4 linked regions of the Saccharomyces cerevisiae S288C genome follow. The gene in region 1 interacts genetically with each later gene. Each region holds a gene or a part of one and is shown on either strand. Other genes may lie near its edges.

Region 1 (7,119 bases):
TTTTGTACGAGTTTGTAAACAGCCATAGTTTGTCAAATTTGCCGAGCTTCTTTTTCTTTAAATTGATCAGCAGCTCCCTTAACTTCCAATCAGGCTTTAAATAGTCTTGCAAAGGTAAGGAATCATCGATGAATGTATTATATTGTAGGACGTCATCAATTTGTTTATTCTTTATTAAACCTTTCACGGATAATCCATATTCTTGATAATACGATTCGATTAGGCGTTCTGCCTCATCGTCGTCAAACCCCAATTCGTATTTAAAGAAATTTGATAATGATTGTTGCATGAGCAATTGTACCTTCGTAGATTTTCTGTACAAAGTGTTATCGATATCAAAGAAAAATACTTTTCGAGCAGGATCCGGATCCGGTAATTTGGGAGGATCCACCTCGAAATTGATTTGTGAGCCTAGATGTGTCAAGCTTTGCAAATGCTCCTGATTTAGTCGTATCTGCTTTTTGATTTGGTTTCTATAAATTGTTCTGTAATCTTTAGCGATAGTCATGATTACGTGCGTATAAAACTTATGTGTTTTTTATCTACATTAAATCTTTTACCAACTATGCGTTAAACCGAGTTCGTATATACATATATATATATATATATATATAAACATATATTTCTATACATGTACGAATGTATTACATATGCTAAATGTATGTATATACATTATATGCACATCTCCTAATAATGAGCCATTTCAGTATTGCGGCAAATACGGAAAAACCCGCAGAAACGATCGTACAGATCCAAGAACTTGGTTTGTATGTGAAGCACGTTGCTGCCCCCTTTTTTTCTCAACCATCTCCGGCGGCGACCGCCGGCTTTTTTCTTTCTTTTTCTGGAAAAAGAAAAACCCCCTATATCACCTTTGACGTTTACTCACTAAATACGAAATGCATTACCCTAATCTCACTTTAAACGAATGAAAAAAGAAAGGTGAGGGGGGAGACCGATGGAAAAAAAAATAAAAATTTTTTTCTTTTTTTTTTTCTTCGTTCACCTCATCTCAATTAATGGCTTTTCCTTGACGTAGTTCAGGTAACTTGGTAGTGATTCTCTTATAAAAAAAAATATTATCATATTTAACATGTTAGTGCCCGTGTAGTTTTTCTTCTTCTTTCTTAACTTTTTTCTTGCAAAAATTGTTTTCTTCCCCTCAGTGCTACAAACAGTAACTTGACAGAACCAAATATGCCACCAGTATCTGCGTCAAAGGCCAAGAGAGATGCTAAGAAAGCTGAAAGAGAGGCTAAGAAAGCCGCTGCCGGTAAAACCATCAGAAAGCTAGGTAGAAAAAAGGAGGCTGCTGCTGAAGAATCGGAGGTAGATGCAGCCGCTAGAGAAATCAAGATGATGAAGTTGCAACAAGATAAGGATGGTCTTTCAGATCGTGTTGTCACTGGTGTTTTGAGTTCATTGGAGACTTCCCGTGATATCAAGCTATCTTCTGTTTCTTTACTGTTCCACGGTAAAGTTTTGATCCAAGATTCTGGTTTAGAATTAAACTACGGCCGTAGATATGGTCTTCTGGGAGAAAATGGTTGTGGTAAGTCAACATTCTTAAAGGCTCTTGCTACTAGAGAATATCCTATTCCTGAGCATATTGATATTTATTTATTGGACGAACCTGCGGAACCAAGTGAATTGTCGGCCTTGGACTACGTTGTCACTGAAGCTCAACACGAATTGAAAAGAATAGAAGACTTAGTCGAAAAGACTATCTTGGAAGATGGTCCTGAGTCCGAGTTATTAGAGCCTCTATATGAAAGAATGGACTCTTTGGATCCAGACACCTTTGAATCTAGAGCTGCTATCATTTTGATCGGTCTAGGTTTCAACAAGAAGACCATTTTGAAGAAAACCAAAGATATGTCTGGTGGATGGAAAATGCGTGTTGCGTTGGCAAAAGCTCTTTTCGTTAAGCCAACTCTATTATTGTTGGATGATCCTACTGCGCATCTGGATTTGGAAGCTTGTGTTTGGTTAGAAGAATATTTGAAGAGATTTGACAGAACTTTAGTTTTGGTGTCCCACTCTCAAGATTTCTTGAACGGTGTTTGTACCAATATGATTGACATGAGAGCTCAAAAACTAACTGCTTACGGTGGTAACTATGATTCTTATCACAAGACAAGATCCGAATTGGAAACCAATCAAATGAAACAATACAATAAACAACAAGAGGAAATCCAACATATTAAAAAATTCATTGCATCTGCTGGTACTTATGCTAACTTGGTGAAACAAGCTAAATCTAGACAAAAAATTTTGGACAAGATGGAAGCAGATGGTTTAGTCCAACCTGTCGTCCCTGACAAAGTTTTCTCATTTAGATTCCCACAAGTGGAAAGATTGCCACCACCAGTTTTAGCATTCGATGATATTTCATTTCATTATGAGAGCAACCCATCCGAAAACTTGTACGAACATTTGAACTTTGGTGTCGATATGGACTCACGTATTGCCCTTGTCGGACCAAATGGTGTTGGTAAATCCACATTGTTGAAGATTATGACCGGTGAATTGACCCCACAATCTGGCCGTGTTTCTAGACATACCCATGTCAAGTTGGGTGTCTACTCGCAACACTCTCAAGATCAACTGGACTTGACAAAATCTGCTTTAGAATTTGTCCGTGACAAGTACTCTAACATCTCACAAGATTTCCAATTCTGGAGAGGCCAACTAGGTCGCTACGGGCTAACCGGGGAAGGTCAAACCGTTCAAATGGCTACCTTGTCAGAAGGTCAACGTTCTCGTGTCGTCTTTGCTTTATTAGCTTTAGAACAACCAAATGTCCTACTATTAGATGAACCTACCAATGGTTTGGATATCCCAACCATCGACTCCTTGGCCGACGCCATCAACGAATTTAACGGTGGTGTCGTCGTCGTTTCGCATGATTTCAGATTATTAGACAAAATTGCCCAAGATATTTTCGTTGTGGAAAACAAGACCGCTACCAGATGGGACGGATCCATTTTGCAATATAAGAACAAATTGGCCAAGAACGTTGTTTTGTAATTGTGAAGTTGATCTGCGCCGTGCACGTTTTTACTTCCCCTTTTATGTATTTTAATAGCAATAATTTATATAACTAATCAATCAATAAAGAAAGAAAATCACCGATAACAATGTGAAGGCAAGAAGATATAACAATGACTTCTCCGTATGTGTAAGAATATGAGGGTAATTGCGTAAAAATGTATATAAATGCCATCTTTATGAATAATCCGACCTAAATAAAACCCCAAAAAAAAAAATGAGAGCCCGCCCGCTCAAGTAGAAATAAAAAAATTTACAATCACAGCTACTCAAACAAAACTAGGTTTGGGTAGCGCTGCCTCATGTGGGATATCTGTTGTGAACGAAGCACCGGCAAAGGCCGTATGACCAGCTACGTGCGGTTTCGAATCGATCGACGCCGCCGCCCTATCCTGGTACTGTCTCGTTTTCTTCTTCTTGTATTTGCACGATTTTTTTTTAGGGGCCTTATCATGTAGGAAGGCATCTATGTTAACAGTGACCATCGTTGCCTTATCGTCCTCGTGTCCCGTCTTCGAGGTGCGTTCCCTAGGTTCTCGCCGCTGTTTTGTAGACTTACCGAAGTTTGGTTTCTTGCCATTGGGCAAACTCTGCGTCGGTGGAACTAATATTTGAGTTTTAGTGGGGCGCATGTGCTCCTTGGCGGAAGGAGGACTTTCCCTTGTGACAATCTTGACTTTTGCAGAATGTTTTGTCTCGGAACCCATTATGAGAGATATTTAATTTTGACTATTATAAAAACGTTTGTGTTTGAGTTTCTGTTAGTGTATAACTTTGTATGTAGTGACGTTATTGTCCGGTCTATCAGGAAGGTAATAGGGCACGGGAGGCCGTTGTTTTATAAGTACGGGCATAAGCCGCAAGAAAAAGAAACGTTAAGAACAAAGAAGAAAAAAAGGGGCGCTGATAATCTTTTCACGCAGTAACTGTCGTACCGCGCGATTAGAGCAGTCCATCAAGGAAATCCTGATCGGTCTCTAGTTCTTCCGGTAGATCGGTCGAAGGGGCACTGATCTTCTTGCCCGCACGATCATGATCACCTTGTACGTGAATGGGAACGACTAATGATTCGGGCTCAGCCGCTGTTATAGCCGATGTTGTATTCTGCCGTCCGAGCCAACGATTGAGCTCATCCGTATTCATCTGCTTGAGGTCTTTGATTTTCAAAGTATCTTTATTAGCAACATTATTGACGGCTGTGGCGTCGTCGTTCTGCTGGAGCCGATTTTTGAGGACGTCTTTTAGCACCTTGTTCAACTCTGCATTGGCGACTGCAGAATGCGGGTCCTCGAGTACCGGGTCCTCATAGTACCTGTCCTCGTTTGACTTCAGGGCGGGCTGTTCTTGGTCTTGATCTTTCTCCTCTGTGGTAGCTTTCTCTTCTTTTTGGCGGTTCAATAGCCGGTACTTTCTATCACTGGGTGTGGCATGTTTTCTTTTCAATTTCTGTTTATCTTGAAATTTTTTTCGATTATCCTTCTTTAAGCTGAATGCATCCATTGCGTTTTCAATTGTCTTGTTTTTTTTTTTGTTTTGCTCGTTTTAAGTAGAATAACGTTATTAGTTGTAGCATGTGCTCATCTCCATGAGGTTTCTCCTAATCACTTCCTTTCTTCTCCTTCACCCATACACCCGCCAGCTTTCTTCAATCCGGGTATCGGTTAAATGCAGAGTGCCTAAATGGGCTGCAGATTGACCACTTTGGGTTTTAAGCTTTTCTCCTGATCGCTTTATCCGGACATATTCTCTTAAACCGTTCTTCTACCCGTTTGGTAATACTTCATAAACACAATATGATATTGCTGAGAACGCATTTACGACTGCAAATCTACTATTGAAAACAATTTTAAACATCTGGTCCAATCCAAGGTTTAATAACTATCATTACTTGAGGTGCAACCGCTTTCTTGTACCTTAAATCTTAGCTGGTTATTTTCCTTTTTTTTTTTTTAGTTCCTTTAAGCCTATTTATTACCTTGCGTTTTCGCACAAACCAACTGTTTTTGCCCAAAAGGATCTGCATCACAAGACGCACACGCATAACTGGAATATTTCATCATGCGGTCTTTCATAAAAGCCCATAAGAAGTCCACGTCGTTTGATGAAAGCCCCAAGCGACATAGCAACTTCAGTGGCAATACTAATAATAGTTCTCAAAGGTCAAGTGATGACTCCTTAGACTTTCTACCATCTACACCATCACAAATGAATTACGATAGCATTCCACCACCCGCGAAACACTCACCTGGATTTGAGTCTTTCCATCGTTTGGCTAACAAGACTTCAAAGTTGTTCAAGAAAACTTCAAACTCAAACTTAAACTCGCATTTAGCTTCAACTCCAACCACAAGCACAAATCAGACTACTTCAAATTCATTTGTTCTCCAAAATCCACCCACAAAAAATACTGGACCTCCGCCGCCATTACCACCGCCGCTCTTTCCTTCCTCTTCTACCTCTTCCTTTTCACGTCATGACAATGAAAGTGAATATACTGCATATAAAAAAACTTCTCCTGCAAAAGATTTTAATAGAACCACAGACTCTCTGCCTGCTATTAAGGGCACAATTACTCATTCGTGGGGAGATTCCAAGGTCGAATCGCACGTAATAATATTAAACGATCCTGCTTCCCCAGCATCAAACACATCTGAAGCGACTTCTTCTAAACAATTCAAAACCCCTATCATTGGCAATGAAAATCTAACTTCAACTACATCACCATCTAACCTGGAACCTGCCATAAGAATATTGAACAAGAACAAGGGTAAACAGCAGGAAAATATCGACGATGCTGAGGACGGGTCATCTAAGAAGGAACATCATGTTTATAAAGCATTAGCGCTTGCCAAAAATAGAAACAGACAAGCAAGAATTCATTCTCATGATGATATAATAAATTTGGGAAAGGCTTCTCAAATGGATATGAGTCTACTAGCCGCTGCGTTTTCCGGAAATTCAACCACCACCATTAATAATGACCAATCTTCTAATGAACAAACCGATGAGAAAATATTAGACATCGAAAGAGTGACCACTACTTCCACTTTAACCTCTTCCGAAACCACATCACCAATAAACAAGTCACCTTGTTTTTATAGTCAAACACTTTCCCTCTCACCAAAGATACGACACGGCGACTTACAATCATCACCTTCAAAAGTGAACAAAAACGATAGTCAAAACGAGACCTTGAACAAGAAAAAAGTAAGGATTAGTCTTAATAGAAAAGAAGAAGAAAAGGTGTATTCCCTCAACAACAATTCCGATGAATACTCTGTCAATGAAAAAGAAACCCATAAAGCCAACGATTGTAATGACGAATCTTCTGAAAACGGTGATGGCGATAATGATCATGATGATGATTATGATGACGATGATGATGACGATGATGATGATGATGAGTCGGAATTTTCGTTTGAATATGCCGGCATAAACGTAAGGACATCATCTGTAAAGTATTACTCCAAACCGGAACCGGCGGCAAATGTATACATAGACGATCTATATGAGGATGAGAACTTTGATGACGATATGAATTGTATAGAAGATGATGAGAGTGGTAATGAGGGAAACGAAATATGCGGTTTATCGACTCGATTCGAAGAAACATCCTTGAAAAGCAATAAAGTCAAAAAGTTCAATGATCTTTTTAACTTGAGCGATGATGATGAGGAGGAGGATGGTAAAGATAACAGTAACAATGGAGATGAAAATGAGAGTGATAATCTTTATCAAAAACGATTAGAAAACGGGAAAGAAACTTTTAATGGTAACCATGGCGGACACCATGATGATGCATCTCTTGGAGAAACGGTTGACAACAAAGAGCAGTTTCTAATAAACGATAATGTCAAGAAGCCTATTCAAAAATACAATGACCTTTTCGATTTGTCTGATGAGGACGATAACGACGACAAAGAGATGTCAGAAGCTGAGTCTTATATGTTTTCCGATGAAGCTCCTAGTATAGAAAGTGGACCAGCAAATGCAAAATCAACACGGGGGATCTATAGTCAATCTAACAAAAATATCATACGTGATGGAAAGCCGAACTATAGTTTCTCT
Region 2 (8,156 bases), on another chromosome or scaffold:
GGCGTCAATTCTAGAAAATTAGTACTGGGAATGGCCGCCTACGGAAGAAGTTTCCATATCAAAGATAACAAATTCGAACCATTCAATCAAAATACTGTATTAATTAACAAAATTTTCAAAGGAGTGGGCAAGCCCACTAAAGAAATAGATAAAGCTGATGGCAAGGAGGGCATCTGGCCTTACAAAAATTTACCAAAGATTGGTACAATAGAACAATACGATCCAAAATATGTTTCAGCATATTGCTTTGATGAAAAAAATTCAATATTTATCAGTTATGATAACACTAAATCAGTCAAAACTAAGGCTGAATATGTGACACATAACAATTTAGGCGGAGGCTTTTGGTGGGAGTCATGTGGTGAAGCTTATGCAAATGAGTCAAGGTCGTTGATAAACGCATTTAATGAAGGCTTGCACTTTAATGTGTCATCAAAACCATCAATATTTCAAGATGTGAGAGTTAAAAAATATTACTTGAATAAATATGGCGATGGCGGATTTTTATCTCCATATTTAAAGCATTTGGATTCAAGAAAGCAATGAATACGAATGTGGGCGTATATAATAACAAAAAGTTTGGTCTATTTATTATCCACTCCGTATATGTATATACATATATACAAATTTCGTTTATTAATGTTAGAGGCTTATAAAAAAAAGCTTGACTTTTCCTTATGTTTCAAAGAGAGGATTTTTGTTGTTATTTTCATAATAGCATATCCATTCTTGAAAAGACTTCAAATACACCAGCAATAACTTCCAATTGTAAATCATGACCAGGATTGTTTTCTATCTCTTCTTTAACTTCCTTGTTTAAATTAACGGAGACACCTAACTCAGTTTCCTTTTCTAAATCAAATGGGTATTGCGAAAATTGTGCCATTATTTCTTCAGCTCTACTAATTGCCTTATCTCTCTTCTCATATTCCAACGTAGTCAGGACATTCTCCAATACGTTTGCCCCATATGATCCACATATTAAAGCTAAAGTTCTAATGATTTTGAAAGATGTTGTCTCCGGAAAATATTCATTGTAACTTAATTCCATGTTCCTCGATACGAGTACAGAAAGTACTCTGCGCTTAATGGCTTCTTTGCAGCTGGCGTCTGCAATGGGGTGTGTCGCCATGTCAAACAAAAAGAAATTTTTCATTTCTGTTCTCAATACACCTTTATCGACCAAACCTTTTGCCAATCTTTCCCTTACTTGTTTCAATTGATAGTTGATCTTTAAAAGGTTCCATGTTTCACCACTTAAAAGATCAATCCAGTTAGAAATTGACAAAGGTTCGTCGTTTTTCATCAATTGCAAAGTTTCATCCAGTAAAACTTCCCCAGTTTTGGAACTGTCAATAACTTCAATCAACCTTTCGGAAAGATCGAACCTTTTCCTGGCGGAATCATCTAAGATTCTGATTTTACCTCTTAACGCTAATTCTATAATTATACAACCACGCAAAGCATATGAAATACTATCATTCCAAAACGACAAATATCCTTCTCTATCTCTTAAGCCCATCAATAAGACTTCTTCCATCAACGTTAACGTAGGGATATTGATGTTGTCTCTCAATTTCGATTCTTCTGGGTCATATGCAATCTTTTTGTTTGTTCCATTGTCATCATCCCCGTCAACAGCAATATTTGCGATTTTGTCTCCTTTGGTATTGTTAGCAGAAGAATGAATGGAGGAAGTATCTCCAGAATCCGCCCTATTGACTCTACGACGTTGTAAAGTAGACATGATTTTTGCTTTGTATTTTTTTAGATAGTTTTTGTTTGAATTCTTTTACGTTATCAGATCAAAAGTTGTAATGAAAATATAGCCAACAATGAAACTGCTAATTTAGCTCTATTTGTTAGCGTGGAAATTTGAAATTTATTTTTAATCTATAAATGCAGCAGCCCAAACCGAAACAAAAGAATAAGTGAGTTGAACAGAGTAAGCAACGGGCCGATATAGAACTGAAAAAGTCAACGTACCCAGAAAGCAATTAACTGCGACACAAATAGATGTCAATGTCCAAAAAGGATAGATAAACAAGATTACGATCCAAGGCAGGGATCTAATTGTTTTTAGGTAAATGCGTACCCATTAGCCTCTTTTTTTCAGTAGTAGTTGACTGCTCAGGAAGTAAAAAAATGAGCCAGAATTGATCATTAAAAACGAAAAAAGGGTAACTCTTCGGTGTATTTTTTATTATTATACCATAGAGTACTGAAATAATGTTTAATTTGTCAACGATTGAACTGATGAACTAGGGATATTACCTCCTGTTTTATAATTGTTGCTAGTTTAAGAATCGGCGAGAGTTATTTTGTGCTTGAAAACTGTTTTTGATTCAAAAAAAAAATGGGAGCCAAGACGTCAAAGCTTTCCAAAGATGACCTGACATGTTTGAAACAATCCACCTATTTTGATAGAAGAGAAATCCAGCAATGGCATAAAGGATTTTTGAGGGATTGCCCTAGTGGCCAACTAGCTAGGGAAGATTTTGTTAAGATATACAAACAGTTTTTTCCATTTGGTTCTCCTGAAGATTTTGCTAATCACCTTTTTACAGTTTTTGATAAAGACAACAATGGATTCATACATTTTGAAGAGTTTATCACAGTTTTGAGTACAACGTCCAGAGGAACTTTGGAGGAAAAACTGAGCTGGGCTTTCGAACTTTATGATTTGAACCATGATGGATATATTACATTTGATGAAATGCTAACCATTGTGGCGAGTGTTTATAAAATGATGGGGTCTATGGTTACACTTAATGAGGATGAGGCAACGCCCGAAATGAGGGTAAAGAAGATCTTCAAGTTGATGGATAAGAACGAAGATGGTTACATTACGCTGGACGAATTCAGAGAAGGTTCTAAAGTCGATCCCTCTATTATTGGTGCCTTAAACCTTTACGATGGCTTAATATGAAAACTTTGTTTTTGCTTCTTATGGATTGGATGTTATAACAGTAGAAGTAATTTTAGGATAATTTTAAATAAAAATAATATTAAAAATAATAATAATACTAATAATAAATGAGAATAAAATGTTGATAAATGAGGGATAAGGTCTATTCATACGTCTCATCCAAGAAGGAGAAAATATCAGAATCTTGAGTTTTAAATAGATTAATTATTGAAATTCCAATCGAATATGGAATTTCTTGAGTATCTCTGGAATGTGTTATCGGTTTCATTTCATTGGATGGTATCAAAAACCTTTTTAACGATCTGTTATTTATATCACGCACGATCACCCATCTTACTTTAAAGGCTTTGCCATATTTTTGTTCATCTTCCCATATACTGGTGTCCAAATCCATTTTCAAATCCGATACCATTTCTGCAACGCCACAGAATCTTCCTGATGTGTTGATTGAAAAAAATAAAAACACTTTGGCTCCCGAATTAAGCTTTTTATATGCCTCAGATAGCCTTTTGTTGCCGAAATGAGTAGACGACCAAATTCCGTTGTAAAACGACCTTTTGACATGCTTCAAAGACGAGGACTTTATTACAAAAAATCTTGAGTTTTCTGGAATATTTAACCAAGGGGGAATAATTGCAGCACTTTTTCTTTTATTAATTTCATTGAAAGTTTGTTCTTTAGTTGACTGCTGCAAATACCTTGGTTTGGATAAATATTCCCTGTAATAATTATTATTGCTATTATCAGATTGGTTGTAGTCTCTAGAAAAGGAGAAATGCCGATTTAAATTTGAGCTTGTCAATGGAATACTATTAATCTGGTGTGTATAGTTTTCATGAGTGATCTCTTCTTTATTTTCTTTCTTGTTAATATCATTTAAAGCTGTGACATCGTTCTTTAGCTTTGGGTTTGTTTGTACTTCAATATGAGTTCTCTCCAAGGAATGGATCAACCCATCTAGTTCTCTTAAAGAGTCTTCAATTGTCCTGTCATTTCTCTTATTTTCTTTCCATTCAGAGTTGAAGTAAAAATTTGGGGGACCTGTAGACCAGATTTGATTCATTTTTAGAGCACAACGCAATACTTACGTCACACCAGCCGTAGACGATATCTTCCTTTCTTAACGAAATAGTAACAGAGGACACAATCTGAAAACTTCTTTTGCGATTCATAACCAACAGAAAATTTTGGAGGAAAACAATGTAGCTGTATAAATATATATATATATATATGTATGTATACTTATTTATTTATATATATATCACAAAAGGCTACCAAAAAGATTAGCCGCCGAGGTACATCGTGAGGAGTGATATTCTGGGGAAACGGGTAGCGATTTCGTGTCTATTTTCGGTCACCAAGTCAACGTTACTTACTGTCGTATAACCAAAGTACAACAATAGCAACAGTTCCTAACATTCTTCCATGGATACGGAAGCATTGGCCAATTATTTGCTACGGCAGCTTAGTTTAGATGCGGAGGAGAATAAGCTAGAAGATCTTCTCCAACGGCAAAATGAAGATCAAGAGTCTAGTCAAGAATATAACAAGAAATTATTATTGGCATGTGGATTTCAGGCCATTTTAAGAAAAATTCTGCTGGATGCTAGAACAAGGGCAACTGCAGAAGGTTTGAGGGAAGTATATCCTTATCATATTGAAGCTGCAACGCAGGCTTTTCTGGATAGTCAATGAAGGGGTATTTTTAAGCCTCTTTATCATATACTCTTTTGTTCGTAATAGCAAATAACTCGGTCTTATTAACGAGAAAAAGTTAAAGCATCTTCTGAATTTTTATTATATACAAGTTATGTAGTAAGGCGCCACTTAGCACCTAGAAAATATGATTAGCGTTCCGTAAGCTGGAGACCATTTTCAACGCATCGTGTGGTGCATCTTTATTCATAACGAAAAGTCCTTGCAACTGGGCGGTACTTACGGTGATATCCAATTCTTTAACACTATTTACAAACTTTTTGCATATATCAGTCTCACCTGGGTAAAATTTCATAAACATTTTTTCTACCTGGTATGGAGTTGCGTTACCAACGAAGACTTTGTAGTCAATACGACCTGGTCTCATTATAGCCGCGTCTAGCTTTTCAGGATGATTGGTAGTCATGAATGTAATAGTTTCTTCAGAAGATGTGACGCCATCCAGGGCATTCAGTAAACCGCTAAATGTTACGCTAGAATGAAAACCTTGTTCACCAGTTTGACTTCTTTTGTTGAACGCCGCGTCAATATCTTCCAGTAATAGTATGCTCCTTTCTGGCATGTTATTCATTAAGTGGTTTAATCTGTCATCTGTTAAATTATTTTCGGAGAGGTTTAAAATACAAATGTTGTAGTCTAATTCGCCCGCTAAAGCCTGGATAAAGCTAGTCTTACCAGATCCGGGAGGGCCATAGAGTAAATATCCCCTGCGATATGGGATACCCCTGTCAGAGTACCATTTGCCGTTCTTCATAAAATCATAAACGTCATCGAGAATACCCTCTTTGATGCCACTGTCCAAAATGACGGAGGGCAGCATCCTTTTAGCTTTTGGTTGACCAAACTTTCTCCATTCAGGGCCGAAAGAAGTGTAAATAACAGTCTTGCCCTCAGTAGTCTTCAGGGCTATGTCTTTAGCCTCGTTCAAAATGTCATCGAACAAATGTTTGTCACGGTACAGTGTAGTTAAGGTTACGGTCTCAAATGGTGACCCGTTTGCGATATCTATCATTTTTGCGGACCTTTCTCTTTTAATCAGGATAAAAGCACCCTTATAACGAATCCAATGATTTCCCGGACCCGGAACCAGCGAAAATTTTGTACTAACTGATCCATTGTCATGTTGTATGTAGTTTGTCCTAACGGATAAGTGTCTAGATACCCTTTGAGGATGTTTGGCCATCCATGTTAGAAACCAGGCGTATGATTTGTCCTTCGACTGAATCTCTAAGTCGACAATCATTTGTCGGTATAGGACCCTGCTGGCTTTTATTATACCGGATCTAGCTACAGCTAAACCTGTACCAAGGATCATAAGACCACCGCCGGCGGCAAAATAGGGATTGTTTGACATAGCATCGCCAACTAGTTTTGAAAGTTTTTCCCGGACTGAGTCATTACCAGTTTCATTTGTTGGCGGAGTAATTACACCACTCAGATTTGGAGTAGCCTGTTTATCATATTGTATGTCAATCGGCTTATCCGACATGGTAGATTGAGGGCACACTTCATTTTTTTTCAAATCGTCCCTTGGTACGTCTACTGCGTTGCAAATATAGAAGAGTGGAAATCTTTACTTATACTATTTACATCGATTTTTCGGCACTCTTTAAGGGTAACTCAATCGAGATATAATTCGAAGAGCAGTAAACTATAGCTCGAACGTAACAGAAAGTTTTTTGCTTGCTATAGTTCTTGGCCACAACGCCTCATTCATTCATTTAGAAAGTTTCTCACTCTTTCTTCTTCCTTTTTTAGCTCATTACTTGTGAAAATGAGCTTTGTTCAAATAAGGCACATTTCTTCACAAATAAACCGTAAGACTGTATCCATTGTTGGATCGGGGCCTTCCGGCTTTTATACAGCGTACCATTTACTCAAGAAGTCACCGATTCCATTAAATGTTACTATATGGGAAAAGTTACCTGTTCCTTTTGGTTTAAGTAGATATGGTGTGGCACCTGATCATCCAGAAGTCAAAAATTGTGAAGAAACGTTTACCACATGTGCAGAAGAGTTTTCTTCCCCTACAAACCAAAAGCATAAATTTTCCTTTGTTGGTGGTATAACCATTGGAAAAGAAATATTGTTGAAGGAATTGCTGGATAATCAAGATGCTGTTATTTTAAGTTATGGTTGTACAGGGGACAGAAAGCTGAATATCCCTGGCGAACTCGGAACAAAAGGGGTGTTTAGCAGTAGAGAATTTGTCAATTGGTACAATGGTCATCCTGATTTCGCAAAGGATAAGCGATTTACCGATTTTGACTGGAGCAAAGTTTCGAAAGTTGGTATTATAGGAAACGGTAACGTTGCTCTTGATATTACGCGTGTACTTATTTCTAATCAAATTGATGAAATATGGGAAAATACGGACATCTCATCTCTTGCACTAAATTTGCTAAGAAGGGCACCTGTAAAGGACGTTAAGCTAATTGCACGAAGGGATTTCGTTCATTCCAAATTCACCAACAAAGAATTAAGAGAACTATGGGAGTTAGAAAAGTATGGCATACGTGGCCGTATTGATCCTAAATTTTTCCAGAAAGAAATGTTTGACCCATCTAAGTACGATCGTGCATTCAATAGACGAGTAGAGATGTGTAGTGAGTATCTCAAGCCATTTAATGAACGTTCGAAGAAAAACTATAAAAAGGCTCCTCCTCCAAGCAGCGGATATGACAAATTCTGGGAGTTAGATTATTTGAAGACTCCCTTGAAAATTAATAGAGACGATTTTGGTGCAATCAACTCTTTGAGTTTATGTAACAATCGATTAAATGAAGATAACAGTTTGCAACCCTTGAAGGACGTCAATAATATTATGACATATAAAGTGGATTTGCTGATTACTTCATTGGGATATGCAGGCGTTCCCATGCCTGAATTCTCTAAGTTGTCTATTGGATTTGACAAAGATCATATAGCTAATAAACAGGGTCGTGTTTTAACTTCCAGCGGAGAAATATTCCCACATTTATATGCATCTGGTTGGATCCGTAAGGGCAGCCAGGGCGTTATTGCCTCGACAATGCAAGATGCTTTTGAAGTTGGAGACAGAGTAATACAAGACTTGGTGGTCAGCGGAGCGCTATCCTTAGAGAATTCTATCGACCTCTCTAATATCAAGCACACCACATGGAAGGATTGGGAAAGAATCAACAAGAAGGAATTGCTTCGGGGCAAAAAGGAACACAAAACTCGGTCAAAGTTTTTAACTTTTGAAGAGTTGTGGAACGGTGTAGAAGGCATATAAAATAGATCGTTAATATATTTCTAACATCTTCTTGTAAATGTAAATATTTTAAAAGGGTTGATCTTATTACGGAGAGAACCAATCATATCGAAGGATTTCTCAATAGTAAGTATCCCGCGCGTGGTCCTCGGGGAAATAGAACGAGAAACTTCAAGTACTTGATAGCAAGAAAGTGAGTGCTTGGCTTCCCCATTTTGATTATAAAGAAAGGCATTATTTTCTAGGGCAAGAAAAGACATTGTTGAAATTGTTCCA
Region 3 (7,730 bases), on another chromosome or scaffold:
TGGTTTGTAGTCCTTGAGCTAGTTCTGCAACTACCCCTTTTCGTCTATTTCGTCAATAAATTCTGGAATTCAAGCGAATTACAAGTTAATACAAATAGCAGATTGAAAAAGTGGTTGCGTATCTATGGCTGGAATGCCTCTCTAACTACCTTGATATGTATCGTTGTTATTTTCAAGCGTGGTTACATTCCTTACGATGTGCTAAAAACAAGCTTGTCCATGACCCAGAAGTGTCAGTTAGCCTCGGTGTACCTACCTACATTCCTAATTCCTTTGCGTTTGTGTTTTGTGTAGCCTGTGTCGGCTATATATACAGTATTAGTGACTATATAGTTAATTAGTGACATATGCCACTAGTTTTATCTAATTATTGTGCTGCGTTTTGCAGTATTCTTTTTTATTTGAAACGCGTCACAAAAGTTTCGCGTCCTTAGGGAAATGGCTGGTTTTTGTTTTAAAATAGTATATTATCCTTGATGTAATTTAGCAAGAGTGTATTGTAAGGGAACAGTCTGTTACTGCCATTCCCTCATCGCTAGATCCCCCTTCCCTCGCTTATTCCGTTACTTTCGCTTTACTGAGCCATAACCAAGCGCACGCATACATATATATATATATATATATTGTGCTGCACGTATATATAAATAAATCACGCGTACAAGGATACGTTAGCCAAATTCTTTGGATATAACAAAACAGCTACAACTCATGGTTAATAATATCATGCACGAGTACGTACCACCCAGTCAGCGGCTATTCCATAGCAGGCATAGAATAACAAGAAACGATTTGAAAGAAGAGGCCCTACATTCCGGGACCACAGATTGGACAACAATTCTGGACACAACAATAGATAAAGATACTAATCTCATTAGTTATGCTGTCCCCATAATAGACAACTTTGCCATTCCTCGAGCAAACTCTCAGGGGAGTCCTGTGGCCCCTTCGCCGAATCACAGATCAACGATGTACTCTTCTTCATCTTCTTCTGCGTCTTCTGTGTTTTCTGATGGTTTGTTTACTCCAAACAACAACAGGAACTCATCAGGATCATCTTCATTAGTCATTAGACCACAAAAAAATTTGAGTGTAGATTCTTTGATTCAGGAAAATAAAAGGAAAATCAATAGTGAAAAAGAATCGTTATCATTAATTGCCAATAATAACGATGAAACCTTGTGCACTCATACTGATCCATCCATACAAAACCTCATTAAATCGGAAACAAAGAGGAACATCTTAAATTTAAAGTTTCAAAATAGAAACTTATTTCGAAGAGAACTAAAATTGGAAAAGTTTTGGAGCAATTTGAGAAGTTGTCATACATCTGGCGATGAGACGGACCTGCTGTTGGTGATAAGTAAGCATAACTTATATTGGTTTGGGATACCGAACGATTTTCGTCTTCCAATATACAAGAGATGTTTATATCACTATAGCGAACTAGACGAAGCCGGATTTTTCAGTCAGTATGCGAACAACTCATTGTATCTAGCAATAAGGAAATGTTGTAACAACGAAGAGCAGGAAACTCTATCCCGGTCTATTTTCATCAATTTGACGAAAAACGTTACCTGGTTGAATAGTCGTTTCGATGACAATAAGGACAACAAGAATTCTTACACGGTTACTGAGGGGAAGTTCTATCAGGACTTTCCTAACTTATACTACCATTTAAAGGACAAGTTGAAATTAAATGTGATAATGGATTTCATCAAGCCTGTAATAAGAAATTTTATGACCAACGCATTGAATAAGCACAAATTAGATGGTATTGGTCTAGAACTTTTAGATATTCTAATAGTGACTACCTATTATGGTCCGAATAAAATCAATGCTTTCTTAATGGATACATTTATCTTAAACTTGCTAAAACAGTGCCATTACAAGTTTTTTGTCAGTAATATCTCTGAGCTGGTTATTCAAATTTCTAAAATCGATTGTGACTTAGTCATTCTGCTAGAAGATTTAAGGTCACGGATTGATTTAGATTGAGCAAGGGGTAAGAGAGAAGGCAGGTATTTCTCCTGGAAGAATATATATATATATATATGTATAACGAAAGCAAAATAAATACTCGGGTGAACCCGTCATGGCGAATAGTGCAAATTTAATTAATAATAAAAATGAAATATCAGAACTAAACATTAATTTAACTTATCTTCAATACTATAGATAGTCAGCCTTCCCGCTAAAGAATTTAATTATTGAAACCACTTACCTAATAAAAAAAAAAGCGTAATAATGGCCAAATGACTTGAATATAAAAGGACAAAAGCATAAACTTTTAAAATATTATAATTTTTGAATTTGGTTAAAAATTTTTATACTATGATTGCATTAAAAATACAGATAGATGATGACGCTTCAGAGAGAAGCAAATATATATGAGATAAAGATAAACGATAGATGAATTTAAAAAAAAAATGAAAAAGAAAAATTAGAAAAGGAAGTGATACTTCTGTCTCTTTTTTTATCTCTCTTTCTCAATTCCTTACAATATTCACACACATTGCAAGGTTTTCAAATGATTACCATTCAACGTTGTCTGCATTTTCTTCAGCCCATTCAGTAGCTTCAGCTTGACCTTCAGTGACTTCTTCCTTAACTTCTTCTTCTTCACCTTCTTCAGCGGCAGCAGCTTCTTCAGCAACTTGCTCAACTTCTTCTGGGTTTCTGTAGAAGTACAAATCTGGCATGATGGACCATGGTTGAGTTCTGTCGACCAAAGCACCTCTTAGTCTCAAAACTTCTCTAGCCAACAAGTACCAGATTAAACCGATGGAGTGCTTACCTCTGTTGTTACATGGGATGGCGACATCAACAAATTCAGATGGGGAGTCCAAATCAGTCAAAGCAATGACTGGAATGTTAACGTAAGAAGCTTCCTTAATGGCCTGAGCGTCTAATCTTGGGTCGGTAACAATAACCAATCTTGGTTCCTTGAAAGAACGGGTGATGTAATTAGTGAAAGAACCTGGAGTGAATCTACCGGCGATTGGAGTAGCACCAGTGTGAGCAGCAAATTTCAAGACAGCTCTTTGACCGTAGGTTCTGGAAGAGATGGCAACAACATCTTCTGGGTTTGGAATGGCAGCAATAATTCTAGCAGCCAAAACCAACTTTTCCCAGGTCTTACCAACATTGATAACGTGAACACCATCTGGTCTAGCATTGAAAACGTATGGTTCTTGGTGGACCTAAAAAAAGAGAGGAAAGATAAATTATGTTAGTAAGAGCGTTCATTTGTGCATATATAATGTTTTCTTCCATATCCAATAAAGTACCGAATTATATCCCGTGGAATTTTTTGACGTTTTACTGTTTCATCGGAGTTCATAATCTTTGACACAGTCGAGGATGTATATTCTTATTGAGTTTCTTCTCCTTACCCTCACTAAGAAGTGAAATTCTAACTCTTCTAAACCCGGCGTGTTCAAAATTCCTCTGAAATTACCTTTGGTCCTCTGACCTCCAAATATGATTAAATCGGGGACATATTCTTTTCGAGACCTATTATCATCTATAGAACATAATCGTATGGGATATGTGTACATACTTGAACGTTTCTAGCACCTAAATGGGTGTTAGCGGCCAACAAAAGTTGGGCATCCTCTGGAGTCAAATCAAAAGTAGCTGGTAAAGACATTATCCTATCAGTATCTTATCTTATCTCTTCTTGTGCTATTTCGGTATTCTAAATTACACACTTAATAACTCGCGATTTTTCAATACGAGGATTCAAACTTGATCATATTATTTTTACAGGAACTAGAGAAGGTGATGTTCCCTACCACGAACCTTCTTACTGAGTGTTGCAGTCCTTCCATTCCATCTTTCCAGCTCCTCCCGCGTCCGTCAACCTCCAGCGGGACCCTCGTTCGAAACAGCACAAAGGTTCGGTGACCGTGCCCTGGAACTTCCGCCTAGCGCACTCAATTTCGCCTTGGTAAATTTTTCAAAGTAGGCGGAAAATTAAAGTAGCGCCATTCCCATAAAGAAGTGACAAAGGCCTTTAAGAAATAGGTAAAATTGTCATGAATGCATGGGTTTACATTTTATATGTACGGATGTAAAAAGGGAAATATTAAAAGTGTTGAAAACGTAATGCCCAAGCTCTTTTTTGTTATTGAAAAAGAAAAAGGGTGCAAATAACATGTATGAACTACGCATGGCAGCCATTATGCATGTAAAATAAGTAATAAAATTTAAGTTTAGGGTAAAAACGTTTGGTGGTATCCGTTATGGAAGATTAACACTCTGTACAGCCTCAATTTCTTTTTTATTTCCCTTCAAATTTAGGTGGAAAAAGAAAAAGCTAGTGTTGATCTCTTATTTTTGCCAAGCTTTTAATTATCACGTTGCCACTTTAACAGTTTTATTACATCTACATCTCTTCAGATTAAATCGTTAAATTACAATAGAAGTTCCGCTAAAAAAGTTTACTGTATTTTATTTATTGTTATTTTCAGCATGAATTTAAAGTCCATCGTTAGCTGGTTCAAGGAACATCTTCCCAGTTTTGATGTCGACGTGGACAAGCATTTTAGAACTTTAAGAGTCCGCAAATATTCTCAGATATGTCTTTTAATTTCTTTCATTATAATATGTGTTATTATACCCTTAATGAATTATTTGTTGCTAACTGACAAATTCTTCAAAATATGTCACCATTTAAAGCATCATGTTTTCAACAGAAGATCATGGGTTCACAAAACACATATGTATCACAAACAGTCACTACAACTATGTTTAATATGCTTTGTTTTCACCTCGTTTTTTGTTATACAAGGCGCTAACGGAGATCTGTTAGAAATTACTAAGCGAATGGGGAGAATTTCCGTTGCTTTGATGCCACCTTTACTATTTCTAACGTTGAGGCCATCACCGTTACCTCACACGTTATACTTAGCATTGTTACCTCTCCACAAATGGATTTCCAGAATTGTTGTGCTTGAATCTATTCTACACACGTGGTTCTATCTCTATTACATGTACATTAATGATACGTTATACGTGAAAATGAGAAAACTACCCAACATTTATGGGGTTATTGCCCTCGGCCTTTTCCTACTGATTGCCATCACCTCTGTGAGATATGCCAGACGATGGAGCTACAGAGTTTTTTACTATGTTCACTATGTAAGCACATGGCTTATTTTGGTGTTTCTACATTATCACGCTCGCCCAGGAATTTCATATTATACCACTTTAAATGTGCTCATATTAACGGGACAAATCGTCTATAGGCTCCATATCACCAATGTTACGAGAGTTACGATAGTACCCATTTCTTCATCATTGTCTCTTTTGGAGTTCCCATTAACCGATTTACCCAAAAAGCCCATCCTACCAGGAGGGCATCTAAGGATCAACATTTACCATAGAAATTTTTTAAGGAGGTTTTTCTCCCATTTGATACCCTTCCAACATCCTTTTACTATTGCTAGTATTCCAAGTGATAATTTGGTCAGGTTAATTATTAGAAACGGGCATTTTCCATTGCGTACAAATGAAAAGTATTACATTACAGGGGCTTTTGAACCTGAGTTGAGTTTCATTTCTAAACCTACTGTTCCTTTTAATATTACCACGAAATCTTCCAAGAATCCATTTCGAAACAATTCTTCTGCACTAATAAATTCGCCTTTAAATTTTCTAATTAAAGCGCAAAGAGTGTTTATGTGTGTTGGAGGTTCAGGAATTTCCTTTGGCTTACCACTACTTCGTATTCTAAACTTCAACGGTGTAAACGTTAGGCTCCTTTGGGTTTCTAGAGATTATAAGGATCTGGAAGTATTGAACCACTTCAAAAACAATTTTGAAGGTATGGAGATATATATTAGTGGCACCGAAGGCAACGAACAGGACATAGAAATTGATTATATTGACTATCATGACTGCGCTGCTGATATTAATGATGAAGTCAGGAGTATTTCTTCGAGCGGCCGAGTTTCAGAACTGGGAGATAATTCCATGTTATCAGATGGAAATCCCCAACCTACGGAGCCCAATGAGAACACAGCCCTTCTAAGTAAGAAATCTACCTTGAGAAACCATCACCCACCAAAAACAAGTGATATACCTGACATCAATGCTGATGACGAGATAGATTTTACATATGCTTTTAGCAGATCCAAATCAAGGAAAAATACTGCACAAGGAACTCTAACTACACATTCTTCGTTTAACGGATCGAGCGTTTTCAGACAACCAAAGATCATTGAGCCACCTGCCCAAGATCCTTGTTTAGAGGCGGCGCCTAAAAAGATCAGAATTCCCGCAGGTGTTAAAGTGTTCTTTGGCAGGCCTACACTTGGAGATAAGGATTATGAATGGTGTCTGCAAACCGAATGTGATGCAGAGACGGATTCTATTCAATGTTGCAGGTGGGCGAATCAAGGCAGAGACCATGCTGAATATTTGTCACAAGTATGGGTTCTCGCTGCAGGCCCTAGAGGCTTAATTGAAAGCACCAAAAGATGGGCGACAGATGGTGGTTTACACTTTCACGGAGAAAGTTTTGCATTATAAGAGTTGCAAGTTGGCTATTAGTTTATGAGGCTTGGAAAATTCACGTATTTGATGGTGGCATATCTATAATGTCCCGTTTTGCTCTTTAATCTTACTGTCAAAAAAGGGCCCTATGTACGATCTTTTCTAACTGATTTTTTCCGAGAAAAGTTCCGCAGGCTGATTTAGTTTTTTTCTGGTGGTTGTCAAGCCTCTCTCCACTTGGTGATAGTTGCGAAAAATGACAGCGGATATTAATGGATATTAGCGGGAATAAGCACATTTCCATATTGATTATTTGTATGTCTAGCAACTTATAAGATGAATTATAAAAGGCATATAAGTTCTTCTTGGTACTGAATACATGACACTCTCACTACTGTACTAGAGACTTATTGTCGATAAAAGAACTCAACTGCCTCAATAGGAATTTTTTTACTAAAGCAATCACTGATTATGAAGGTTTTTATGCATACAATCCTCACAAAGGTGCAGCGATTGCATTTGTCGTTCTGTTTGGCATTTTAATCCTTTCTGCCTTGGTGCAGATCATAATGGCAACACACACGAGCAAGAGACGTATTCATCGCTGGGAAAACAATGAGTTGTCAGAGGAAAATTCCACAATAATATACTTTCCTGCCCGCGGTTTGATGTGGACACATTTTCCTTTCGTTTTAGGGATTTGTTTAGAGTTCGTGGGTTATGTGTTGAAAATAGTCTTTATCAATAGCCCCTCGATTTCGACTTTCATTGCTCAATCGGTGCTTCTATTGATAGCACCTTCACTTTACGCCCTTAGTATTTTTATGTTGTTCAGCAAAATGGCACGTCTAATTCTTATGGAGGCATATATGTTAATTCCTGCGAAATTTAGTACAGTTTCTTTCGTAGTGGCAGATATGATTGGGCGTGTCCTACAGGCTGTAGGAGGTGGGTTGTTATCCTCATGGAACAGCAGGAATACTGGGCGTATCCTAATTATTGTGGGTCTTTTCATTCAGATATTTTGTTATACCTTTTTAACGTTCAGTCAACTTTTTCTTCACTATAAAATGAAGGCAACGCCTAGTAAAATTGTGCGGGATAGTAATGAATGGTTCCAGTACAATTTTATACTTTTAGCTGGGATATTGCTGGTTAATGGTAGAACCATTGTCAGAGTAGTACAATTTCTAATGGGCTTACAAAGCTATATAGGTCAGCACGAATGGTGC
Region 4 (7,489 bases), on another chromosome or scaffold:
GATGATATATACATCCTTTTCACGAACAGATTCGCGAAGAGCAATGTTCGTTTCCCCATTAGAAAACTTCCCTAATTCTACTTTCGATGGGTGAATGTCCAAATTTTCACAGATCTTAGTAACTAACTCGGGGTGCGAGTCCCCTCCAAAAACAACAATATTACTCATTGACATCCAGACTGCGTTCCTAGCCTCGTAGCAACCTCCAACAAAGTCACTTTCGACCAACTTACTCTCATCTCATCCAGCCCTTCTCGCTAATCGTAGCCATTTATTATTTGATAGAAAATTTTTTTCAACTGCGGTCGAAGGGTAACAGCCATATTTTCCTTAATTGATTAGTATAGGAGAACTTGATGATAAAGTGTGGAAACCTTTCATAAACGGTTGGAGAAAAGAATCACATAGAGTTATGGTGAGCAATGATTAGTGGTGTGCTGGTATACTCATCGAGAGGTGAACTTGTCTTGAACAAGTTCTTCAAGAACTCGTTGAAGCGGTCCATATCCGATATCTTCCGAGTACAAGTGATCAATAATCTAGATGTTAGATCGCCTGTTTTGACACTGGGCTCAACTACTTTCCATCACATCAGGTCGAGGCATGGTGACAATTTGTGGTTGGTAACCATTACGAGAAGCAACGCTAATAGTGCGGCGATCTGGGAGTTCTTATATAAGCTTGATGCAGTGATGAATGCTTATCGATTGGATAGAGAGGAGGCCTTGAAAGAGGAATTCATGATTGTGCATGAGATGCTGGATATAATGTTGGGTGGAAATGGGATACCAATTGACACTGAATTGAACTCTGTTATAGCGCAGATGTCTGTGAAACCCGTTAGAAATATGGGCGGATTGTTAGATAGTCCCGATGGAAATGATGTATTATCTTCCTCTTCATCTCCTACTTCTTCAGCAGGAGAACTACATTTTCCCAAATTTTTGACAAAAAGAAGCAGTAGTTTCCTGGGTCAAGGAGACTCCACTTCTGATTTCTATGATAACAATAAGATCACTTGGAGGCCCAAGGGGATAATACACAAGAAGGATGAAGTTTTCTTGTATGTCAATGAGAGGATAAACATTCTGGTATCTAGGGATGGTTCTATCTTGAAATCATACGTTGATGGCACCATAGATATCACCACACACTTGAGTGGGACCCCTATTTGTAGATTTGGATTGAATGATTCTTTGGGAATGCAGTCCGAAGACGAGAAGAAATGGTTAGCACAGCAGCAGCGTCACTCTGGCAGCGATTTTGGAAACAAGAACTTCATTCCCAAAGCTGCTGCCGGTAGTGTTTTGTTGGAAGATTGCAAGTTTCACGAATGTGTCTCACTTGACAAATTTAACAGAAATCATATCATTGAATTCGTCCCACCAGACGGTTCGATGGAGTTGATGAAATATCATGTACGAGATAACATAAACCTGCCGTTCAAGGTTACACCTATTGTTACACATTCTACAAGAGATAACGAGATTGATTACAGGATAACATTGAAGTCTTTATTTCCTGGAAAACTTTCCGCCAAAGATGTGGTACTACATATACCCGTTCCACCAAGCACTGTGGATTGTAAGATAAGTGTCTCTAATGGCCACTGTAAGTTTGTGCCAGAAGAAAATGCAATGATTTGGAGGTTCAACAAGTACAATGGGTTGACGGAAAACACTTTAAGTGCAGTTACTGTGTCCACAAGTGATACTACTCAATTGAATCTTCAACAATGGACAAGACCTCCAATATCCCTGGAATTCGAGGTCATGATGTTCAGTAATTCTGGCTTAGTCGTACGATACTTTACCATTTCTGGAAAAGACAGTAAGCATCGTGCTGTAAAATGGATTAAATATATATCGAAAGCCGGTTCTTACGAGGTGAGGTACTAGCCCGTAATTTTTGTGTACATATATTTTTATCATGCCTGTATTTTTTATAGTAATTTCCTTTAGAATGCACATTTTGTTAATATTGAATATTTTCTATTATGAGAGACATGCAATTTAGTTTTTCATTGAAAAGAAAACAGGGAAAAAACATGGAAAAACCATACAAGACACCAAAAACACCATAGTAATGAAGATCAACAGCGCAATCAAGAGGCACTGGTACTTCTAGGCTTGAAAATTTGGTTTTGAATATAATGCCCCCTCAGATTCCCAATGAAAATGATGATCTCTTTACAAGGTGGCTTAAGTCTCGGGCCATCATACAAAGGGCAGTATCGACAAGAGAGTGCTTTGACTCAGAAGTATTTCTGGCGTCTGGTGGCTGGAATATAACGAATGAGATAATAACGTTAAAGAAATATTATCAACTCAAGTGGCCAAACTCCAGTTGCAATTCGTTTCATCCAAAAACCGTGGAGTTTATTAAAGAACGATTACACAACCTAGAAGAACATGACTCTTCATGGAAAATCCCAAATCCTGCTTACTCATTCAAGAAAGCCTTCTTGGAGGATACTAAATCTGCATTTTCCAACTTAGAACCCGTCTGGGGACCATCAAGGCTTTTGAATCCAGCTGAATTACTATTGCCACAGGACGAAAAACTACTTGTTCAAGAGATACCACTAGAGTTCGCACCTTTTCAATACACAAATAGGTTTGCTTATGGTGGTTTGCAGTTCAAGAACAATTTGTTCGTCACTTATGGGAGTTATTCCTTCCTGGCTGCCGGTCAATGCGTCGAAGTTCATAATTTCGATATACTATTGAACGTTTCGTCATTAGAAATATGTCACGCCTTATTGCCCGTGATAATACCAGATGACGGAGATGTAAGAAACTTCCGCAATTCATCATATGTGAAATTTAAGGATACACAGTTCAACAGCATACCTGAACTATGTTCTATCAACTTTATGAAGATTTGTAACTTCATGCATCAAGATTTTCTACTAGCTTGCGGTGACAACGGAATCGTTTATATCTGGGAAATCAACAAAGTTATTAAGATATTTAATAAATTTACTTCGGATATCTTGGGAGGCAAAGATAACAGCCGGGAAAGATACATAAATGTTGATCCATATATGGTGTTAAGAGTAGAGGAATCTTGTTGGAGTGTTGATGTAATAGATATAAATGGCATCATATATATCGCTGTTGGCCATAACAAGCCTGGAGTTACAGTCTTTGCATTCGATAAAGATGTAAAGAAGGAAAGACGGTACATTCGGCCTCTAGATCTTCCCTCATCTCACAATGTTCCTTGTGTTAACTTTGTTCCTAATTCAAAAGATTCTGTTGGATATATTACATTAAGTTATTGTTCTATATTTGGGAATGTTGTTACCGTTAAATTAAAGGAGCATGATTGTACCATTTTAACGAGTTTCCTTGATACTCAATTTTTTGGCGACGACTTATGGACAATAACTCCACTGACTAAGAAGGATTTTGCGAAAGTTGACAATTTCGAATTGTTGAATCTTAACTACCAAGACGGTTTCAAAGAAAGCATGTTATATTCTATTTGCCGAGATGATTTTTTACTTGGGTATTACTGTGATAACGCCTACCTCTCTGGGAATTTCGGTATTGGTACATTACTCAATCAATTTCAGGTTCCTGTCACAGACCTACGACTGACTTCTTCAGCAGGGATCCCCGATGAAGTTATACCATTAAGATTTACCTCATTTGATAGAAATTACACTACAACGGGCTCGATAAAATACGAGTACAGCAGAGAGGATTTTGCACTTATTTTACATGCCGGTGACTTAGACGATATGAATGATGCAGTGACAAAAAACACCTCATGTGAACAGCATTTACACCAATGGACATTTTGGGAGGATTCTGGTTATAAACATTATCGTGCTACTGAGCGTGGATTTTCGAAATACAAGGATATTATTAATACTTTTCCACAGTTGATAACTCCTAGTGGAAGAAATAAAACATCGCAATATCAAAACACTTCTGGGAGAAAGATCTGTGAGCCGTCTACTTATAAACTTACTGATCTCGAAAATGATATTGAAGATATATCTCGCGAATTTAATAGAAGTATTCGTAATTTGAAAATGGATAAACAAAGACAACTACGAACTTCAAAAGAGTTCAAATCGCTAAGTTCAGTAAATCATATACCAAATATTGAATCGGGAAACTTTTTATGGTACAACACCGATGCCGCTGCCGATTGGAGAACACTTTTTGGCAAGGATTTGAACACGGTCTTGAAGGACCCAGAAATTTGTAGCCTTCAACTGAACTCTACAGAAGAGGACGATGTCAATAGCGACCCTGAAAATGAAGAATCTGGTAGCAGCTTAACAAGTTTCCAGCGAAGATATAGGGATACTGAACAGCGTGCTCACTTGAAATCAGAATCGCAGAAATCTTGGGGGTTCCACAACTATGTAAGAAACGTCAAGCGGTTATTAGAGTCAGCAGTACCGGGCTCAGAAGATTCGCCTCTTGGGTATCAACTATCCGAAATGCACGACGAGTTCTTCTTCCTAACCACAGCCCATAGGCTGGTGTTGATGAAAGCAAATCCACTCATAATTATATCAGCAACTCATCATGAGATTTTTCCCTTAGATGGTGTTGTGACGTGTGCTTCCAAGTCGCTGCTCCAAGCACTAAACAGAATAAATTTTGTGTGTCACATCAAAGAACTAAATTGCATAGCCGTGGCTTCACAATTGGGTCTCATTTCATTACTAAGACTAACAGAGTACAGAGGCATCTATTCGTTTAGACAAGAGTATATTCTTGGATGGGAAGTCCAAGACCCTGTTAACCCTAGTCCAGAGTGCAGATGTAACAGGAACTTGTTTGACGCACCAATGTATGGTGCAGATGGAGAGAGCTCGGACACATACTGCGGCGTGTGCGACGTCTATTTCCCCATGGGTGATATTTGCGGACTAGATTACACTTATGCATCTGACAGTGAAGAGTTAAAACGTAAGGGATATGCTACCTTATACGTAGCATCAAGAGGCTCCTTGAGGGCATTCAAGATCACAACTGAGCATGGAACAACTCAACAATAGCATATTTTGACATTTACATAGCCATCTATATAATAATCCTTCCTTCATTGAAATGCGCGAATGACTCAGACGAGCAATATCACGTGTTGCGATTTTACTTTCAGTTTGCAAAGAAGAAACCATGCCACATATAAAGAACGTTTGCACTTCTCTTTAATTTATTAGTTAGTAAGTAAGAAGTTTAAAGACAACTCAGAAGACATCAGCACTTTACTATGGCATTGGAAAGAGAATTATTGGTTGCAACTCAAGCTGTACGAAAGGCGTCTTTATTGACTAAGAGAATTCAATCTGAAGTGATTTCTCACAAGGACTCCACTACTATTACCAAGAATGATAATTCTCCAGTAACCACAGGTGATTATGCTGCACAAACGATCATCATAAATGCTATCAAGAGCAATTTTCCTGATGATAAGGTAGTTGGTGAAGAATCCTCATCAGGATTGAGCGACGCATTCGTCTCAGGAATTTTAAACGAAATAAAAGCCAATGACGAAGTTTATAACAAGAATTATAAAAAGGATGATTTTCTGTTTACAAACGATCAGTTTCCGCTAAAATCTTTGGAGGACGTCAGGCAAATCATCGATTTCGGCAATTACGAAGGTGGTAGAAAAGGAAGATTTTGGTGTTTGGATCCTATTGACGGAACCAAGGGGTTTTTAAGAGGTGAACAGTTTGCAGTATGTCTGGCCTTAATTGTGGACGGTGTTGTTCAGCTTGGTTGTATTGGATGCCCCAACTTAGTTTTAAGTTCTTATGGGGCCCAAGATTTGAAAGGCCATGAGTCATTTGGTTATATCTTTCGTGCTGTTAGAGGTTTAGGTGCCTTCTATTCTCCATCTTCAGATGCAGAGTCATGGACCAAAATCCACGTTAGACACTTAAAAGACACTAAAGACATGATTACTTTAGAGGGAGTTGAAAAGGGACACTCCTCTCATGATGAACAAACTGCTATCAAAAACAAACTAAATATATCCAAATCTTTGCACTTGGATTCTCAAGCCAAGTACTGTTTGTTAGCATTGGGCTTAGCAGACGTATATTTACGTCTGCCTATCAAACTTTCTTACCAAGAAAAGATCTGGGACCATGCTGCAGGCAACGTTATTGTCCATGAAGCTGGAGGTATCCATACAGATGCCATGGAAGATGTTCCTCTAGACTTCGGTAACGGTAGAACGCTAGCTACGAAGGGAGTTATAGCGTCAAGTGGCCCACGCGAGTTACATGACTTGGTGGTGTCTACATCATGCGATGTCATTCAGTCAAGAAACGCCTAAATAACATATATTTTACTTTATTGATAGACATAAATATATGAGTACATATATATATGTGTGTATGTGTATGTACATACCAGTTAAATGATAACCTTTTTTTATTGTTGTTATAGCGTGAAAAAAGGAAAATACAGTGAAAAGAACAAAACTGAAGAGGTAAGAGTAGGCTAACAAAGAAGAAAAGTGAGACAAGAAAATACAGCAGGATTCTGACCGAATGAACAAAACGAATTGGAAGGTATCTGTAACTACATTCAATTGTGGTAAGGAATTTCCCGTTGAAAATTCGAAAGCAATCGTTAAGCAATTGCTTTTCCCCTACGATGACGGCATCTCCCAATTGGAATTGCAAGATCTATATGTGTTGGGGTTCCAAGAAGTAGTCCCCATATGGCAAGGCTCCTTCCCTGCTGTTAATCGTGATTTAATCGATAGAATTACAACTACTGCGGTTAATTGTCTGAATGAAAAAGTGTCAGCTACACAAGGGGATGAGCAGTATTCATGTTTAGGGGTGAATAGTCTTGGGGCGATTACCATAATAGTATTATACAATAATAATGCGCTAAAGGTAAAAGATGATATTTTGAAACGGAATGGGAAATGCGGTTGGTTTGGTACACACTTGAAAGGTGGAACTTTGATAAGTTTTCAGATGACACGCAATGGCGAGGAGAACTGGGAAAGATTTAGCTATATTTGTGCTCATTTAAATGCAAATGAAGGTGTCAACAATAGAAATCAAAGAATAGATGATTACAAACGAATAATGAGTGAAGTGTGTGATTCTGAGGTTGCAAAAAGCGACCACTTTTTCTTTCTAGGCGATTTGAATTTTAGGGTTACTAGTACTTATGATCCAACTACCAATTATTCGTCCACCACAACGTTAAGGCGTCTATTAGAAAATCATGAAGAACTAAATCTGCTACGTAAAGGAGAGGATGAACCGTTATGCAAAGGTTTTCAGGAGCTGAAGATAACATTTCCACCGACATACAAATTCAAGTTGTTTGAAAAGGAAACATATAATACAAAAAGAATCCCGTCGTGGTGCGATAGGATTCTCTACAAAAGCTATGCAGTGCCAACTTTCGCACAAGAAGGTACTTACCATTCCGTCCCTAGGTCCAATGCTCTATTATTTAGCGATCATCAACCCGTTAATCTTACC

The links.
Region 2: mutations in EDC2 (region 1) and BCS1 impair growth when combined (synthetic growth defect), as found in Saccharomyces cerevisiae (2 studies listed by BioGRID, with this or other methods).
Region 3: mutations in EDC2 (region 1) and RPS0B together harm fitness more than expected from each alone (negative genetic interaction), as found in Saccharomyces cerevisiae (2 studies listed by BioGRID).
Region 4: mutations in EDC2 (region 1) and MET22 together harm fitness more than expected from each alone (negative genetic interaction), as found in Saccharomyces cerevisiae (2 studies listed by BioGRID).

Annotation. Positions count from the first base shown.
Region 1 is NC_001137.3:219,278-226,396, reverse strand, and holds EDC2 (Edc2p), read right to left. Parts: upstream 3,759-7,119; coding exon 3,321-3,758; downstream 1-3,320. Other genes in the region: PHM8 (bifunctional nucleotidase/lysophosphatidic acid phosphatase), read right to left, coding at 1-508; ATP-binding cassette family ATPase ARB1, read left to right, coding at 1,198-3,030; YER034W (uncharacterized protein), read right to left, coding at 3,994-4,551; ZRG8 (Zrg8p), read left to right, coding at 5,110-7,119. UniProt on the Saccharomyces cerevisiae protein: mRNA-binding protein which stimulates mRNA decapping by DCP1 and DCP2.
Region 2 is NC_001136.10:1,220,403-1,228,558, forward strand, and holds BCS1 (bifunctional AAA family ATPase chaperone/translocase BCS1), read right to left. Parts: upstream 6,135-8,156; coding exon 4,764-6,134; downstream 1-4,763. Other genes in the region: CTS2 (putative chitinase), read left to right, coding at 1-546; VPS74 (Vps74p), read right to left, coding at 710-1,747; FRQ1 (frequenin), read left to right, coding at 2,357-2,929; PHO92 (mRNA-binding phosphate metabolism regulator), read right to left, coding at 3,072-3,992; WIP1 (Wip1p), read left to right, coding at 4,355-4,624; ARH1 (NADPH-adrenodoxin reductase), read left to right, coding at 6,420-7,901.
Region 3 is NC_001144.5:238,151-245,880, reverse strand, and holds RPS0B (40S ribosomal protein uS2 RPS0B), read right to left. Parts: upstream 3,650-7,730; coding exon 3,560-3,649; intron 3,201-3,559; coding exon 2,532-3,200; downstream 1-2,531. Other genes in the region: EMA19 (Ema19p), read left to right, coding at 1-294; MLO50 (Mlo50p), read left to right, coding at 709-1,995; FRE8 (putative ferric-chelate reductase), read left to right, coding at 4,474-6,534; YLR046C (uncharacterized protein), read left to right, coding at 7,068-7,730.
Region 4 is NC_001147.6:204,929-212,417, reverse strand, and holds MET22 (3'(2'),5'-bisphosphate nucleotidase), read left to right. Parts: upstream 1-5,241; coding exon 5,242-6,315; downstream 6,316-7,489. Other genes in the region: ribose phosphate diphosphokinase subunit PRS5, read right to left, coding at 1-174; APM4 (Apm4p), read left to right, coding at 423-1,898; CRT10 (Crt10p), read left to right, coding at 2,153-5,026; phosphoinositide 5-phosphatase INP54, read left to right, coding at 6,533-7,489. UniProt on the Saccharomyces cerevisiae protein: Phosphatase that converts adenosine 3'-phosphate 5'-phosphosulfate (PAPS) to adenosine 5'-phosphosulfate (APS) and 3'(2')-phosphoadenosine 5'-phosphate (PAP) to AMP. May regulate the flux of sulfur in the sulfur-activation pathway by converting PAPS to APS.